2 linked regions of the Drosophila melanogaster genome follow. The protein of the gene in region 2 purifies or fractionates together with the protein of the main gene of each other region. This does not show direct contact. Each region holds a gene or a part of one and is shown on either strand. Other genes may lie near its edges.

The links.
Region 1: the proteins of PAPLA1 (region 2) and Sec23 purify together in Drosophila melanogaster (affinity purification with western blotting, with the first as the bait; one study listed by BioGRID). This does not show direct contact.

The regions. Positions count from the first base shown.
Region 1 is NT_033777.3:5,646,090-5,654,655, forward strand, and holds Sec23 (secretory 23), read left to right. Parts: upstream 1-2,975; 5' UTR 2,976-3,148; exon of another isoform or gene 3,149-3,269; 5' UTR 3,270-3,292; coding exon 3,293-3,571; intron 3,572-3,630; coding exon 3,631-4,880; intron 4,881-4,942; coding exon 4,943-5,096; intron 5,097-5,164; coding exon 5,165-5,713; intron 5,714-5,891; coding exon 5,892-5,915; intron 5,916-6,291; coding exon 6,292-6,381; 3' UTR 6,382-6,540; downstream 6,541-8,566. Other genes in the region: MTA1-like (metastasis associated 1-like), read right to left, coding at 965-1,126, 2,408-2,435; elm (ethanol sensitive with low memory), read right to left, coding at 7,163-7,665.
Region 2 is NT_033779.5:8,155,331-8,162,988, forward strand, and holds the start of PAPLA1 (phosphatidic acid phospholipase A1), read right to left. Parts: upstream 4,246-7,658; 5' UTR 4,103-4,245; coding exon 3,889-4,102; intron 3,457-3,888; exon of another isoform or gene 3,382-3,456; coding exon of another isoform or gene 2,914-3,381; intron 2,850-2,913; coding exon of another isoform or gene 2,687-2,849; intron 2,619-2,686; coding exon of another isoform or gene 2,207-2,618; intron 1,927-2,206; coding exon of another isoform or gene 1,732-1,926; intron 1,421-1,731; exon of another isoform or gene 1,191-1,420; intron 576-1,190; exon of another isoform or gene 443-575; intron 274-442; exon of another isoform or gene 1-273. Other genes in the region: CG43394 (uncharacterized protein), read left to right, coding at 1,732-1,926, 2,207-2,618, 2,687-2,849, 2,914-3,381; Rbsn-5 (Rabenosyn-5), read left to right, coding at 4,762-5,428, 5,487-6,097, 6,163-6,402; Acbp1 (Acyl-CoA binding protein 1), read right to left, coding at 6,591-6,733, 6,793-6,907, 6,981-6,995.

The sequences.
Region 1 (8,566 bases), on a different chromosome or scaffold from region 2:
GCTCCATTCCAATCCCCTCCAGATCCCAACTTCTGACTTGAACATTTTCGTGCACACAGAGCAGCAGTGTCAGTGGGTTTGGGGTTGGGTTGGGCATGGGTATGTGTGGCAGCTTTTCAGAGGTAGACAGACTACTACTGTAGTCTACCTACAGCCGAACCAAGTATCACATTCACATTGACGTCGGCGCCGCCTAGCAGCAACCGAAAACAGCAACAACCGCATTACGGGTAGTATAGTGCAGCCCAGCTCATTACAGTCGAGCATCATTAGAGCAAACCGGTGGCACCTTAACGTATGTACATATGTATGCCTAAGGTTGAACTTAATAATTTACAGGCTATTTCCGCACCACGATGCGTGTTTATGTTCATTACCAGTTCCCAAAACACCTAGTTTCTATGACCAATATCTTTTTAGACTATTTGCTAAATGCTTTTTCTAATTTGCGACACGAATAATTCAAATTGCGCTACTGGAACGTAGATCAATGGTGCTTCTGGTTCGAAGTAGAGTGGTTACACTGCCAGTTGATGTGGCAGGTTGTTTGAAGGTTCCACTGCCTGTTTATGTGGATGAGTCGGATGCTGGACGAAATCCGTTTTCGCTCCGCCCTCACAGTTGTTGTCATTGCGGTTCTTGTTGCTCAGGAAGTTTGACTAGGATTGCGGGATGGGGTGGCACTGTGGGAGGTTGGGTGGTTCGGTGGGTGGCTTCGCTTTCCACATGCCTTGACACAGCGCACACAGTGGTGCCCCTTACGGGTTCATTTTGTTGTTGTTTTGTGGTGGGCATGTGCTTAGCAGATCTGGTCGTCAGGTTTTAACTCTTAACTTGTTTGAAGGCCACGACAACGACTCTTGGCAACATAACCTCACTTTGTTGACAATAAATATACACACTTAGAGGTAACGTAACGCAAGATATGGATGCGGTTTCGAGGGAACAGGGTTTCTCTACTCACGTTGGTGTTTGTCGGCCAATTGCACGAGCGGATTGGGCAGATCCCGGCGGCGGTAGAAGCACATGACCTTCGCTTCCACATTGCCGGTTTGGTTTTTGTTCAGCTCCTCGATGCGTCGTATTAAGTAGGGACTGTTCGGCGTTGTCTCAACGTAAACATAGTCTGAAAAAAAAACAGTTTTTGAGGTGGCTGATGCAAAAGGGTCAGAAAAGGGCATGGAAGGGTGGGGGGCTGCAACTCCATTAATACGTCACAGGTAAGCGCACACATACACCTATACACGCATCCACCTAAGTGCGACCACCACTACCAGCTAAAGCGCAATTAAATACATATGGGTCTATCCATCCATATAACTTTATACCTACAACAACTGCAGCGGAACCTGTCGTTGACTATTATAAAAAATAAAAGAAATTCCGTTTATCTGTATGTACATACATACATAGATACAAACGTCGTGTGCACTTCTGCTACATTTTGGGATGCAGATACACAGATAGATGGGTAGATAGATGAAGAGAGATGAAAAAGAAAGTGTGGAGGCAGCGAGAAAGCATTGCCGAAGGTGTGTAACTGTGTGCGTGGCCATTAAAAACGGCTAACAAAAAACGCCGATGGAGACAAAAAGTTCTCGGCGATAAAGAGCAGATAATTCGACAAGTATATATGCCATTAATATTTATTTTGATTCCGTTAATTGAAAGCTTGCGTATCCGACCGAGCTTATTTGCATTTCGAAAGAGCACACACACCCACACACTTGCGAAAATCAGGTGAAGACAACACAATAACGTCACCGCTCGAGCGCGAGCGAGATGGCTAACAGAAAGTGCGTCAGGCAGGGTGAGGAGTGGGAGGCGTGAGATGGGGGGAGATGCTCAAAAGCTCATTAGCATATGAAAACACAAAAAGGCGGGTGGGCGGTGAGCCCAAAAGTGAGATACACTTTCGCACATAGTCAAACAAACACACACGCTGGAGAGATCACAATTCGGCAAAACCAAATCCAAATGCAAATGCAATTCAGTTCCCCAGCCCTAGAATACACACACACGCATACACTTAGGGCATAAGTTAATGCTTATCGGTTGGAACACGTCGAAAACACTTGCTGCAGCTGCGACACAAGAGCAGCAGGGGGCTCCTTCAAAGAAGTTAAAAAAAATAGAAAAGGTCTCTCCTTTTCGACGGATTGTTCTTGAGATTGATAATACACGCACACACACACACATACACGTGCGTCGGGTCTCCCACTAAAGGGTTTTCGGCAATTAAAATGCACTTTCGTTATTGTTGGAAAGCCTCCTCAGACACAACACACACGCATACGCACACATTGGACACACACACACATATGCAGAAGCGAACACGCACACCGTGAAACGGCGGCGCCGATAACGAAAGATGATAGAAAAGCGAGTACGCGAAAATTTTTCTCACCTCCGACTCGATACATATTTGTGGCCATTTTCACTACGCTACCGCACCAAAACTTTCACATGCAAAACACTCGGCACACGCTTAGCACTGTTTTTCAATGGTCCTGTTCCAAACTAGCGCACATTTATTAGCAGAAAACTCGAGTTGTTATGATTGCATTTTTCACATAAGAAGACGCGTTTTTTTCGTCGCCATCTTAGAAACAACTCAACTCTAAAAAATACACGCACACACACACAATGCCGAGTAAACAGCTGCACCAGGGATGCACTCCACGGTGCGATAGTTTGGCCATCGATAGCAATCGATACATGGGGTGTTGGGTAAAAACTTAATGTTAAAATTTAGTTGGGGCGATAAGAAAAACGATAAGGGGCTTTTCTAGGAATACGATTTATATTTATTTATATTATATATACTTCTTGAATAACAATATATATCATTAAGAAAATTAACTGAAAAAATTATGGGCGAACCTTGTTTTATTTATCATTTTCAAAACATATTTATTTTCACCCTTTTTTTCTCATATTAAAACATTCATTCAATCGCATGGGGCGCATGCGATAGTATCGCTTGAAAACTGTCTTCCCTAACATGCAACGTTTGCACTTAAAATTCTGTAATAGTTCGTAGTCTAGGTTTCTACGTTTTGTACGTTTGTATAAATTGTTTCCAGAGTGAGTGCTTTGATTTGAAGAGCCTCTTAAAGACTCATCTCGCGAATTTGTTTACTTTCGCGTGAGTATTTTGGCCGTCGCCAGCACGAAAGGTGTCACGACTCGCTGTCAATCCGTGACGTGGCCTGACCGACCGATTTTTCCAATTGGCAGAGGTCTAACAGAGGTTTTTCCGATTTAAGTATTACATTTAAGTGTTCCGGCGATGACCACCTACGAGGAGTTCATCCAGCAGAACGAGGACCGCGACGGAGTGCGGCTGACGTGGAATGTGTGGCCCTCAAGTCGCATCGAAGCCAGTCGGCTGGTGGTGCCCCTAGCTTGTCTTTACCAGCCTTTGAAGGAGCGCCCCGACCTACCGCCTATTCAATATGAGCCGGTCTTGTGCACTCGCAGCAACTGCAGGGCCATCCTGAATCCACTGTGCCAGGTGGACTACCGTGCTAAGTTGTGGGTGTGCAACTTCTGTTTTCAGCGCAATCCGGTGAGCTCAATGGTGATCTTTAGACTCTCTGCGGCAGTTTATGACAGTCATTATTCCAGTTTCCCCCTCAATATGCTGCCATTTCCGAGCAGCACCAACCAGCGGAGCTGATTCCGGGATTCAGCACTATTGAGTATACTATTACACGGGCCCCCACCATGCCGCCCGTCTTCATTTTCCTGGTTGACACCTGCATGGACGAGGAGGAGCTGGACGCCCTCAAGGATTCGTTGCAAATGTCGCTAAGTCTGCTGCCAACCAACGCTCTCGTGGGTCTGATAACCTTCGGAAAAATGATACAGGTGCACGAGCTGGGCGCGGAAGGCTGCTCTAAGAGCTATGTGTTTCGTGGTACCAAGGACCTGACTGCCAAGCAGGTGCAGGATATGCTCGGAATTGGGCGTGGAGCGGCTCCGGGGCCGCAGCAACAGCAGCACCTGCCCGGCCAGCCGGCTGGAGCGGCGGCCCCTGTGCCGCCCGCCCATCGCTTCTTGCAACCGATCGGCCAGTGCGACGCGGCGCTGGGCGATCTGCTTAGCGAGTTGCAACGCGATCCTTGGCCGGTGCCGCAGGGCAAGCGTTACCTGCGCTCCACTGGTGCCGCCCTATCTATTGCGGTGGGCCTGTTGGAGTGCACTTATCCCAATACGGGCGGTCGCATTATGACCTTCGTGGGTGGCCCTTGCTCCCAGGGCCCCGGCCAGGTGGTCGACGACGAGCTGAAGCACCCGATTCGTTCGCATCACGACATCCACAAGGACAACGTGCGGTTTATGAAGAAGGCTATCAAACACTATGATGCTTTGGCATTGCGGGCAGCCACCAACGGGCATAGTGTCGACATATACTCGTGTGCCCTGGACCAAACCGGACTGCTGGAGATGAAGCAGCTATGCAACTCCACTGGCGGCCACATGGTCATGGGCGATTCGTTCAACTCATCGCTCTTCAAGCAGACATTCCAACGCGTCTTCGCACGTGATGGTCGCAACGACTTGAAGATGGCCTTCAATGCCACGCTGGAGGTGAAGTGCTCGCGCGAGTTGAAGATCTCCGGTGGCATCGGCTCGTGTGTGTCGCTGAATGTGAAGAGCCCGTCGGTGTCGGATGTGGAGATCGGCATGGGCAACACGGTGCAGTGGAAGCTGTGCACATTGAATCCCAGCTCCACCGTAGCCTACTTCTTTGAGGTGGTCAACCAGCATGCAGCCCCCATTCCGCAGGGCGGGCGTGGCTGCATACAGTTCATTACGCAGTACCAGCACCCAAGTGGACAGCGGCGAATCCGAGTTACCACACTGGCCAGAAAGTATGTGTTGGCATAAATCAGCCCAGAGTTTACTTACGTGGTTCAATCTGTTTGTTTTTCAGTTGGGCCGATGCCACCTCGAACGTGCACCACATCAGCGCTGGCTTCGATCAGGAGGCCGCCGCAGTTCTGATGGCCCGTATGGTCGTCTATCGTGCGGAGACTGACGAAGGACCCGACATTCTGCGCTGGGTCGATCGTCAGTTGATTCGTCTGGTAAGTTTTCAATGTGCAAAATTACTCGTGCCCAATTAATTAGTATTGTAAATGCTTTCCTTTTACAGTGCCAAAAGTTCGGCGAGTACTCAAAGGACGATCCCAACAGCTTCAGGCTGTCGCAAAACTTCAGCCTATTCCCGCAATTCATGTACCACCTGCGCCGCTCGCAGTTCCTGCAGGTCTTCAACAACTCGCCCGACGAGACCACATTCTATCGACACATGCTAATGCGCGAGGACCTCACCCAATCGCTGATCATGATCCAGCCTATTCTCTACAGCTACTCGTTCAACGGCCCTCCAGAACCGGTCCTCCTCGATACGGCTTCCATCCAGGCGGATCGCATCCTCCTGATGGACACGTTCTTTCAGATTCTGATTTACCACGGCGAGACCATCGCCCAGTGGAGAGCCCTCAAATACCAGGACATGCCAGAGTACGAGAACTTCAAGCAGCTGCTGCAAGCACCGGTGGACGACGCGCAAGAGATTCTTCAGACGCGCTTCCCCATGCCTCGCTACATCGATACGGAGCACGGCGGATCCCAGGCCCGCTTCCTGCTGTCCAAGGTCAATCCCTCGCAGACGCACAACAACATGTACGCCTACGGGCAGGTGAGTCTCGCAGCCAGCGCCATCAACTGGCCACATTTGATTGATCTTTGCAGCGCTCCATTTGGCGTCATCGAAAATTTAATCTCAATCGAAATCTCAATCTCGTTTTATGTTGGTTTTGTTTCTCTCATTGTATAATCCGTACCCGTATCCGTAACCGCTCCTTTGTCAATCGCAGGCGCCCATCGGTCAAGTCACGGTAGTACATATTTGTTTAATTTTCAACTTTTAAACTGGTGGAAAGGTGGATATTTGAAATTTAAGGGGCGGGTAAAAAATCTTTGGAAATTGGATATGTCCTTTGCTCTTGATAGCTATAAGTCCAAAATAAGTGTTTTGGATTTTGCAATAAATCTAAGATGGCCAACCCCACACGGCTTAATCTAAGCAAAGATTTTGTCTGTTCCTATTTTTTCATATTGTTTTTAATAATTTCAAACATGATTTATATATAAGTGGCTTTTGGTGTTGGACCCTTCTAGGTGCTTGTATCCCTTTTTCATTCATCCTCCCCTCCCCACTTGGCACGATCCCACCCACCCATCGCATGACTAATTTTCCGGACATTATCTCGACAGGATGGCGGGGCTCCAGTGCTCACGGATGACGTTTCGCTGCAGCTGTTCATGGAGCACCTCAAGAAGCTGGCTGTGTCCACCACCACATAAATCGACTCTGGCTCTAGTTTCAGGCGCTTGCTTCCCTGGCGAAGTCGAAGAAGGCGAACGACACCTGGAATCAATGGTCCAGGCAATGAAATTACGAATATACAACCACTTATTCCAATTGATCGTCTTATAACGCAATAAACTATTCAAATTATGTTCAACAATAAGTGTGTTAATCCGCGATGCTTTTATTCGTAAGCAGCTGAATTAGAATTTACGTTGAGCGGAATGAGTTTGTAATTATAAAAACAAGGCATTAACAAAATGAAATGAGCATCTCTTTCATTCTTCATAACAACTATTAATACAAGTAAATCCGACGGGTTCCTGAAACCTACAAGATTTGTAAAAATTATTTTTTTGTAATATAAGACAGCAAAAGATTTATTTATATTTTTATCATAAATATTTGATCAAATTTCCGGACGCATTTAACTTTTAGATACCAAGCAATTGGTTATATTTTTCTGTATTTCTCTAGCACCCGTGATCAAACATATGCATTTTTTGTTTAACTTGAATGAAATATCTTCGATAAGCTTTGGGCAAATTACTCAGGTTTAAAAAACTTTGCGACACTTTCATTTTCATTCATTAAATTGAAACTTCTAAATGGTTGGAAAACACAACTGGTATAATAAGAATAGCAACCACTGCTTTCAAATCATTAGAGTTTTCAGTAACCCGCCGGAATGCCTCTCGACTAACTGCATCCTAAACTATTTGGTACACACTGACTAAGAAGGTCGCTCTTTCCTCGTGATTGCCGCATCCAGCTAGCCTAGTTGAGAAACCGTATGGACATCTTCTGATCCACGTCGGTGCGGTCCAGAGCTTTGCAGAAGTCCTCGAACGAGATCTTGCCCTGGCAGCACAGGTCCGCCTCCAGGATCGTCCTCTCCGCAATGCTGACCAACTGGTCCTGGCTAATGTTCGCCCCGACCATCATGTGCAGGATGGAGAGCAGCTCGTCTCTGCTGATCACACCATCGTCATCCAGATCGTACATCTTGAAGGCGAACTTCAGCTTCTCCTCCCGGCTGTTGAGCTTACTTTGCTTGTTATCCCTCAGCGGCCGGAAGTGGGCCAGGACGTTCATGAACTGCCGGAAGTTCACCCGATCGTCGTTGCTCTCAGCGAAAAAGGAATGAACTATCCGCTCGCACAGCGGATTAATGGCCAGTTCCGGGATACGCATCAGATCCTCCCGGGACAAGGTTCCGCAATCATTGCGATCCAAGGAGGTGAAGCGCGAGTAAAGTCGCTCGATTTGGTTGGGGGTGACTGGAAAATAAAATTGATAAAAATTAACCAATCGATAATTAGTTTTGAATTAAATACAATTAAGATAGTACTAAAACATGTACATTCAACTGTAAATACCTATATGATATTAACTTTAATAAGCGATTTAACAGTCCGTCAAGTTAAATCATTTAATAAAGTTGTTTTTGTTGAACGACACTGTTCAGATAAATTACTTTTGCCATGGAAAACTCGAACGATACCTATTTACGAACAGTGTGGGCATGAGTCTAAGCCCGTTCGGAATTAGTTGCTATAAAATCTGGCTGATAAGAGCGAACGCCTTATCATCTTAGCTGATACTAGCTGGTCGAACATTGGATACAAGTTCCAATGCGGTGGCAATTTCAATTGTGCGCTTATCGCGCCCGGAATATTGAAATTACACGCTCTCGGACACTAGATAATTGCCAGCCCCAATATCGGTGATAGGCGTCGACTTTTGCCCCCACCCACCCCCGTCTCATATATACGTATATAACTATCGATGACGTCATGTGGGAAGTGCAGGTGCATTTGAAATGCAAATTGCTTTTGCTGCAAACCATCTGTCCATATACCGCTTATATAAGGCGGGCACAGATCGCTCAGACTCAGTTCTGCATAATTTGAACGGAGTTTTTTAGAACACGTACATATAGTTCGTAGATTTGGAATTTTTATAGAAATGACGAATCGAAACTAAGCGAATCCATTTTGGCAATCCATGGTCTTGGACCCGAAATGCTTTTAGCACTCCAGTGCGATGTTGTTGTTTGCATTGCTCGTGGCCCAATTAATTTATATCCAAGTGCGTATTTCGATTTAGTACGGCGCATTGAAAGTCTCCGGTTGAAAAAGCCCAAGGTTATCACACATCCCGACCAGAAATCGTACTCAC
Region 2 (7,658 bases):
TTAGCTCGTAAGATCATTGACTAACACCCGACCAATCGCTGCTCTCTAATCCCAAGTCAGCTATGCTGATCCTTGTATATAGCCGATGTCCCAACGCTTTCCTTAACCAAAACGCTAGTATAATAATAATGCTCAACAAAACCACACTTGACACTAAACTGTAGTACAAAGGAAATTTTCTATATACATATATGTTTACTGTTTTACAGTTATAAAGTAATAAATGTTTTAGCTTTTTAAGGGTACACAAATAAAACGAAAACGATAAAAATCAAACCTTTTTAACACTAAGCCACACAAATGATAACGATTTTAAATGGTGACTGTTAATGGTCATAAGCTAATTAGCCAAGCAGCTATCTTACAAACATTAAAATGCAACTTAGCCATTTAAAATCGAATATTTTGCGTGTGCAGCTAAATTATGTTTTTCGAACTTCACCTTAACTTTGTATCAGCACTTTGTGTTCTAGTCCTTTCTGTGTTTCGTCCTTTAAGGTGAGTATGTTTAATATATATCTATTTTGATTTAATTATGGAGCACTTTCAACTGTCCGGCACAAAATGTTATTGTTAACTAACTTAAAACGTAGAATGGTTGGAAGAATGGATCAATTATAACGAGCGTTCCCCCAGATTAATCATACGCCACGTCGAACGAGTGGACAAAGTCCAAGTTTGTATTGTATAGCTAATAAAATGAAGATTGCACGGGTCAGACAGAAAATAATTATGACTCAAAAACGGCGGAACATAACATTTGTAGTCAAAACAGCGACTTATCGCACAAAACTGAAAATACTCGGTGAAAGTATTGCAATCTTTTTATAACTTATGGAACCGCCGATTATAAACAAAGTTATCACCCGGAAGTTACCAACACAAAAACGTACTTCACATGTAAACCCTGAACAAAAAAATCAATTTTTTGGGGATGTTTTTTTTTTGCACTGCCTGCCTCAACTCCCAATGAATTGTGACCTTTTCAAAAGAGTACTTTAAAACTCAAACAAAAATAACCCTTTTGCACAGTATTTATCGTAAATTTATAAACATTAACATACTTTGAGGTATGTGAAAGATGTCAACATTTTTGAATATTCGAGGTAGCTTTTTTTTCCTCTAATGGTTAAATATCTTTCTCAGCTTTTGTGAATGTGGTATTTTCTTAAAATAACATACATACATACGTTTTTTAACAACAAAATTAGGCAAATCACATCACTGTCAAGGGCAAATTTAGAATGCGACCAGTTTTTGGTGATGTATTGCACTGGCTGGCTATGTCGTCAGCACTGATCTAGACTGGCAATTAATATCCGTCTTTGTCACCACTTTAGCGGCCAAAAATCGTAGGTTATTTGCTAATTTTACAAGGAAAAACAATTGTTTTTTTCGCGGATTTTTGTAGACGTGTTTTTCTTTCACAACAACTACGGCGCAGCTGCGGGGTTAGGGTTGCCAAGGTCCCGCAAATGGCTAAAGATTACCGCAAAATGTCTTTATTTAATGTTTGTCCATTAATTATAATTATTTTGGCTATAAAAAACAAGTTTGATGGCTTACAGATTGAATGTTTATTGCACAACTATGATGTTTTAATTAAAAGTGGTACGCAATGCTATGGTCTGGCAACGCCGCGCAAACACCTGTAACAGCTGTCCGCGTTGCGTTGTGAATGGTCAACAGCTGTTAGACTTTTGTTTATTTTTGTGCTTTTCTAATTTTTAGAGATCAATTTGAAGAAACTAGCGAAATTCGGCGGAGTTAATGTCACGGAAACGTTAAATAACCAAGAACTTGATGCCTACGTACCGCTAAACAAGCTGCGACGCGCGTCGATTTTCAAACTGAAGTTACAGCCCGAGCTGCACGACAAGTACAATGTGTTTGTTCGCGCCGAAAGAAAAGCGGATGTGTTTCTGGGTGAGTTATAGTAACAAAATAACAAACAACCTGGCGGTATTGATTGCCACACAGTACTGAGTCCCCGTTAGCTAATTAAATGCTCTGAGACTGGGTTTCGGACTGATAAGGGCCCGTGATCTGTTTCGTTTGCCCCAATGAATACGAATCTCTACTGATAACCGCGCTTCAACCTTGGATGGAATCGTCAGCGTTGACGCCATCATCGATACATTTCCATAGGGCAAGAAAAACACGTGTGCGCAATTGATTTAGAAATTGTTTTCTATTTCCCTCACAGGCGACATCATCAAACGCATCGACAGCTACTACAAAACCGGACAAACAAAGGCCAAATCAGCCAAACTTCAGTTTCCCGACAAGGAAAAGGACACGGAAAAGCTAGAGGAAGATGTGGACTCCCCGAAGAACGAAATCGAAACCTTTTCGGAGCAGGAAATCCAAAGTTCTCCTAATCTGAATCAAACGCTTTTAGCTCCCAGCACTGGGCAGTCGAGAAGCACCCTAAATGCCATGCTTCTCCAGCGATGTGGCACAAAAATTGAGTTGGGCATTGAATCGAAACTGCTGGTGATGGCTGGTCAAACAGCTACGCTACTCTTTGAGGTCACCAACATGAAAACGGAAACGGTTTACTCCACCATTCAAGTCACCGACGAGCGGCGCTTCTTGGTTCAACTGAATCCTACCAGGTTGGAGCGCTTAAGAGCGAAGTCTTTGGTTTACACATTATATATCTTACGTACTTCTGCCTTTGTAGATTAAGCCTGCGCGCCCAGGAGACGGCTACAGTGCGTCTGACTGTTCTGGTGCCCACTGGCACAGCTCAGGGCACCACAGACCGGATTACCTTCACCAATTACGGTCGCGAAACATCTACTCTGGCGGTAAATCTTAAAGTGGTGACTAGCATAGATGCTCAGGTATGTGAACAGCCGATAACCTGATTATGAAAGCATAATTGAAATGTTTAAATATAATTTCCAGGACTCAACTGGACCTACACTATCCTGGGAGTTTGGCAGCCGCTGTGATTACCTGACGCCCGAATCCCAGAATTGTGGTGAACGTTTTTGGACTGTGGATGTGACCGCTCAGGACTGGCAGTCAGGCATGATGCGTTTGCAGGCCTCGCCGCCAGAGGGTCTTTTCTACAGAAACTATTATACTGCTGGTAGCACAGAGCCCCTGAAGGCAACCTACATGGCCTCTTGCTGCGAACCAAAGGTATCACTCATCGCTTTCGATGCGGCCGGGAACCAGAGAAGCCTCACCATCGATGTCAGAGATGTGTATTTGAACGAGGCCGCCATTGCAGCCATTTGCCTTGGAGTCATTCTCCTGATCCTGCTTATTGCAGCCCTCATATGGAGCATTGTGTGGTGTTGCAGACGGAGGAAGACAACGCTGGAGCTGCCCACATATAGATCCCACTCCACTAGGAGCATGGAGTAGATTGTTGTTATGTTATTGTGCCAAGTTAGAACCTATGTGGTCTCGAAGTCTAATAAAATGCCATAGAAGTACCAGATATACAATATGGCACCGTTTTACTAAATGTATGCAAATATTTAGGATACAATTGTTTGTCCCTGCATAAACTACTGAAACGAAGTGCAACTTAAAAAAAGTAGTATAAACAATGTCGGTGATTTCAAACGATTAAATGGACTTAACTAATGTCTTATTTAGGAAAACTATTATAATATATCTATATATTTGTTCAGCTAGTAGTAGGTATACATATTTGTTTAAGCCAAAATAAGTGCTGACCTGACCCATTCCTCTATACACTGAAAGTAGTTTATATTAACTTGATCCGTGATAAAGTCAACCCCAGTTTATGAAGAGGGTAAGAAGGTCAAGTGCCTTGCCAGGCTTATCAGCTTATCATTATAGCAGCCGAGCAACAGGTGACCCCCACTCCGCGTTAGATTCACGAACGTACGGTGACCCACTTACCGCGATTCAAGATGCCAGCGATGAGGACGGGCGCCGCTGGAGGCGTGGCATGGACCACGGGCGGGGCGGCTGGCAGGAGCTGCGGCTTGTTGGGGAAGTCGTCGAAACTCAGGCCGGTCACGGAGGCGCTCAGAAGCGGATTTTTAACGACACGCGTCTGGTTTGCGTTGTTGTTTACGCGAGCGGACACGTCACCTTTCGATCTTTCCGACATATTAGCGGCCGATCTGGAGCTTTAAATTGGGCTAACTCGATATGAAGATGTGTGCCAAGTGCACAGTTGCCTTAGGAATTATTTTTATACACAGGATATTGACACCCACGACGGATTAAAAGCGTTAAACCCGAGAAAACTTCCAGGCAGGCAATATTCTGCTTCTTTCCGCGCATTGGCCATTCGCCATGGAAAGCTTTTACCAGGGCTGCAGCGGATCCAGAAATGGATAGGCAAAAGCTGGTAATCAAAATATGCTTATAACATATATATTCCTAGCTAGTTTTAACTGGGAAAGAGTATGAAATCTCCGTGACTACCATAAACAAATTTTCAAAAATCCAAATAAACAGCAAAAATAGCCAAATATTGCTTTTGCTGCAGCCCTAATTCTCGGATATTATTTCGAATTGCAATTTGGGAAGAAGAAGAGTGAAGTAGATAAATCTTGATGATTTCTGCAAATATTAGTTTTTAAATAAAATTAATGGATTTGTAGAAACTCTGACCGTATTAATCGAGTTTAGGACTACAAGTGCCGTAAGCCCCGTCATGCCACTGTTTTAAAACAAGTGGAAAACCTTAGGGTCAATTTTTTTTGGGGAGGAGACCACAACAAATAACACCCACCGAATTAACTACGATTACTCATCGCCGGAATGTCTGGAAATCCTTTCGACAGCGACGAAGATCAAAGCTCGGCCAGTGGAGAGATACTAGAGGGCTTCCTATGTCCCATTTGCCGTGCGGATCTCAAGTCCATCGATGTGCTCACGGATCATTTTGCCCGCCAGCATGCGGAAGAGGAGGATGCCCTAAAATCCTTTAAAGATATCTTTACCAAGGCGAAAAAGAAGATCCTAAACCCCTTTGAGGATGAAAAAGGTGCATCTGTATCGTCGCCCGCAGGTTCCTCCTCTTCAGCGGCTGGCAAGAATCCCAATGGCAACGGAGATCGCAATGGACCCAGTAATGCCCGCTCCCGTCTAAATGTATTTAACTATATGGCCAGGCAGCAGCCTGGTGCTGAGTGCTCCCACTTCGAGTACTTTCAGTCCATTCGCAATCCTCGCCTGGAGCGATATGCCAGCGAAACAAACAAACTAATCATTCGTTTGCACCGCCTGCTTAAGGATCTGCCAGCGGATTCAGTGCAGCGGCGTCAGCATGAACAGCAAACAGTTGCCTGGCTGGATGGTAGTTCCGTCAAGTTGTGTCCCAGTTGTGCCAAGAGTTTCCACATCGCCCGAAGACAACACCACTGCCGTTTGTGCGGAGGCATAATGTGCAATGATTGCTCCAAGTTCCTGCCCCTGGAAGATGCCAGTTTGTAGATCCAATAATTGAGGAAAATAATGTAACTTATTTGATTATAATCCCGCAGTGCAACTAGCCAGTCTTTCCACCACAAGAAGCGAGCCCCTTCAGCAGCTGCATCAGCATGAGAACGCCATCCGGCTGTGCGAACACTGCCTTTGGCTGCTGGACACCCGAAAGGATATGCACGAAAGTCGCACTTGTCGCCCACTCCTCGTCCAGGTCTACGAACAAATTCGTCAACTACAAAAAGAAGTTACCCCGGATCTGGACATGTATCTAAAGATCATCAATAGCTTGAACGAAGGGGACACAATCTTCACGTTGGCGGATGCAGGTGCTTTGCGCGGCAAGATTGGACAAGTGGCAGAGGCCATGGACATGAGGAGCAAGCGCATTCTAGCCATATTTTGTGAACCAGGCAGCCGGGAGGAGGCATTAAAGAAGGCCATTCGGTTGGGCTGCATCCAAGCCATCAAGGAGCGAATGTTATCGCTGCCCCCACTGCCAGAGGAATCGCACATACGCCAGATGCAGGAGCGTAGACGCATGGAAACGGAGCAGCGTATCCTCACCGAACAGCGCATGGCCATGGAAGCCTACGAACGAAATAACATGGCAGCTAACCAATCCAACGTTGGAGTTCCTGGTCCGGAAAGCGGATCCTTTGCCCAAGGGGTATGTAGACGAGGACTCTCTGCAAAGATCAATATGTAACCTCTGTGATTCCATTTGCTTCACAGTCTGATCTTCAATCTCTGAACAACTGGTCAGCACCGCAGGCGGCTAGCAAGTCCAGCCTGGACGATCCGCTGATCGAGCAGATAAACATCATTAAGGGCTACATCAAACAGGCTCGCCAGGACATGAACTTTGAGGTGGTGGAGACGCTGGAGCTAAATCTTCGCGAGCTACAGCGCGAAGTGTACGAGCGACAGCGCCAGTCCCAGGGAAGCACCGCCGCCTCACCCACAGAGGCCTAAGCAGTATCCTACATAGTTAAATGTATATTCATTCCCTCTATGACAAATTACATGGCTTACGTTACGTTACGAATTTGTGGTGTATATTGTGCGAAAAATTTTAGTTTGTGCGAAGTTTCTGTAAATCAAAGTTTGTGCGTTTGACGACAACTGAGACTATAAAATGCAACATCCTATTTCGATTGAGTCTATGACTTCAGGCCAACGGCAGCGATCAGTGCCTTGACCTTGGTAATGTAGGCGGCCTGGGCGTCGGTATTGCTCATTCCCTTGCGGTTGTTCCACGCCTCCCACTTGGCCTTGCCCTTGAAGTCCAGAAAGCCGGGCTTATCTGCATTGGATTAGAATTATCGATGGTGCAGCGGAGTGACGACTATGTCCGAGACCCACCTGTATTGCAATCCCCCACAGTGGCCTGTTTGTACAAGCTGTAGAGCTCCAAAAGGTCATTGTCCCCGGGTGTGGTGTTTAGGTTCTTAACATCTTCGGCCGCCTGGTTGAATTCCTGTTTAGGTTAAGTTTGAATAGGTAATCAGACTTTAAGATACGAATGCGTATTTGACGTAGATTCAGTTCACCTGCAATTCGGACATTTTTGTATCTATTTTTTAACTAGTGGAAGTCTTTGGAAAAGAAATTGCACGATTTTACTTCACCGAATCTATCGGCGTCTATCGATATCTGGTCTATACTTTTGTGTGACCAACAGTTTTTCAATTTAGAGTGGACAAGCTGTTGCGTTTTATTTCGCGGGTCTGGCAGCCTATACACTTAAAAGATTCGAAGTCTAATTTCATATTGAGAACTGAGATACATTATTACGATGATAGTTAGGAACATGTGTAACAGTTGGTAGACAGTTTCTTGCCAAAACAATTGTGTTTTGAAAAAAGCTATGGAATAATATGAACAATATCCAAAATAGTCCGTTAAGATTTTCAAGACATTAACGAAATATTTTAAAAACCTTCCAATGTTGATTGTCTCAATTGAACATCTTTCAGCCCACTGTCCTGCTCTCTCCAAATGTGGCAACAAAAATGAGAGGCTTATGGCGCGTGAAACATGATTTCTATTAGTAACATATGGAGTAATGATGTGCTGTACGTCAACGTTTTGAACAGTTGTACATAGTAATTAAAATGTATCAATATTAAGAGGAAATTTAATATATAACTACTTCTTAAATACACAAAATACAATTGATTTCTAGCATATGTGGCCATATTAGACATCATCAATACATGAATTTAACT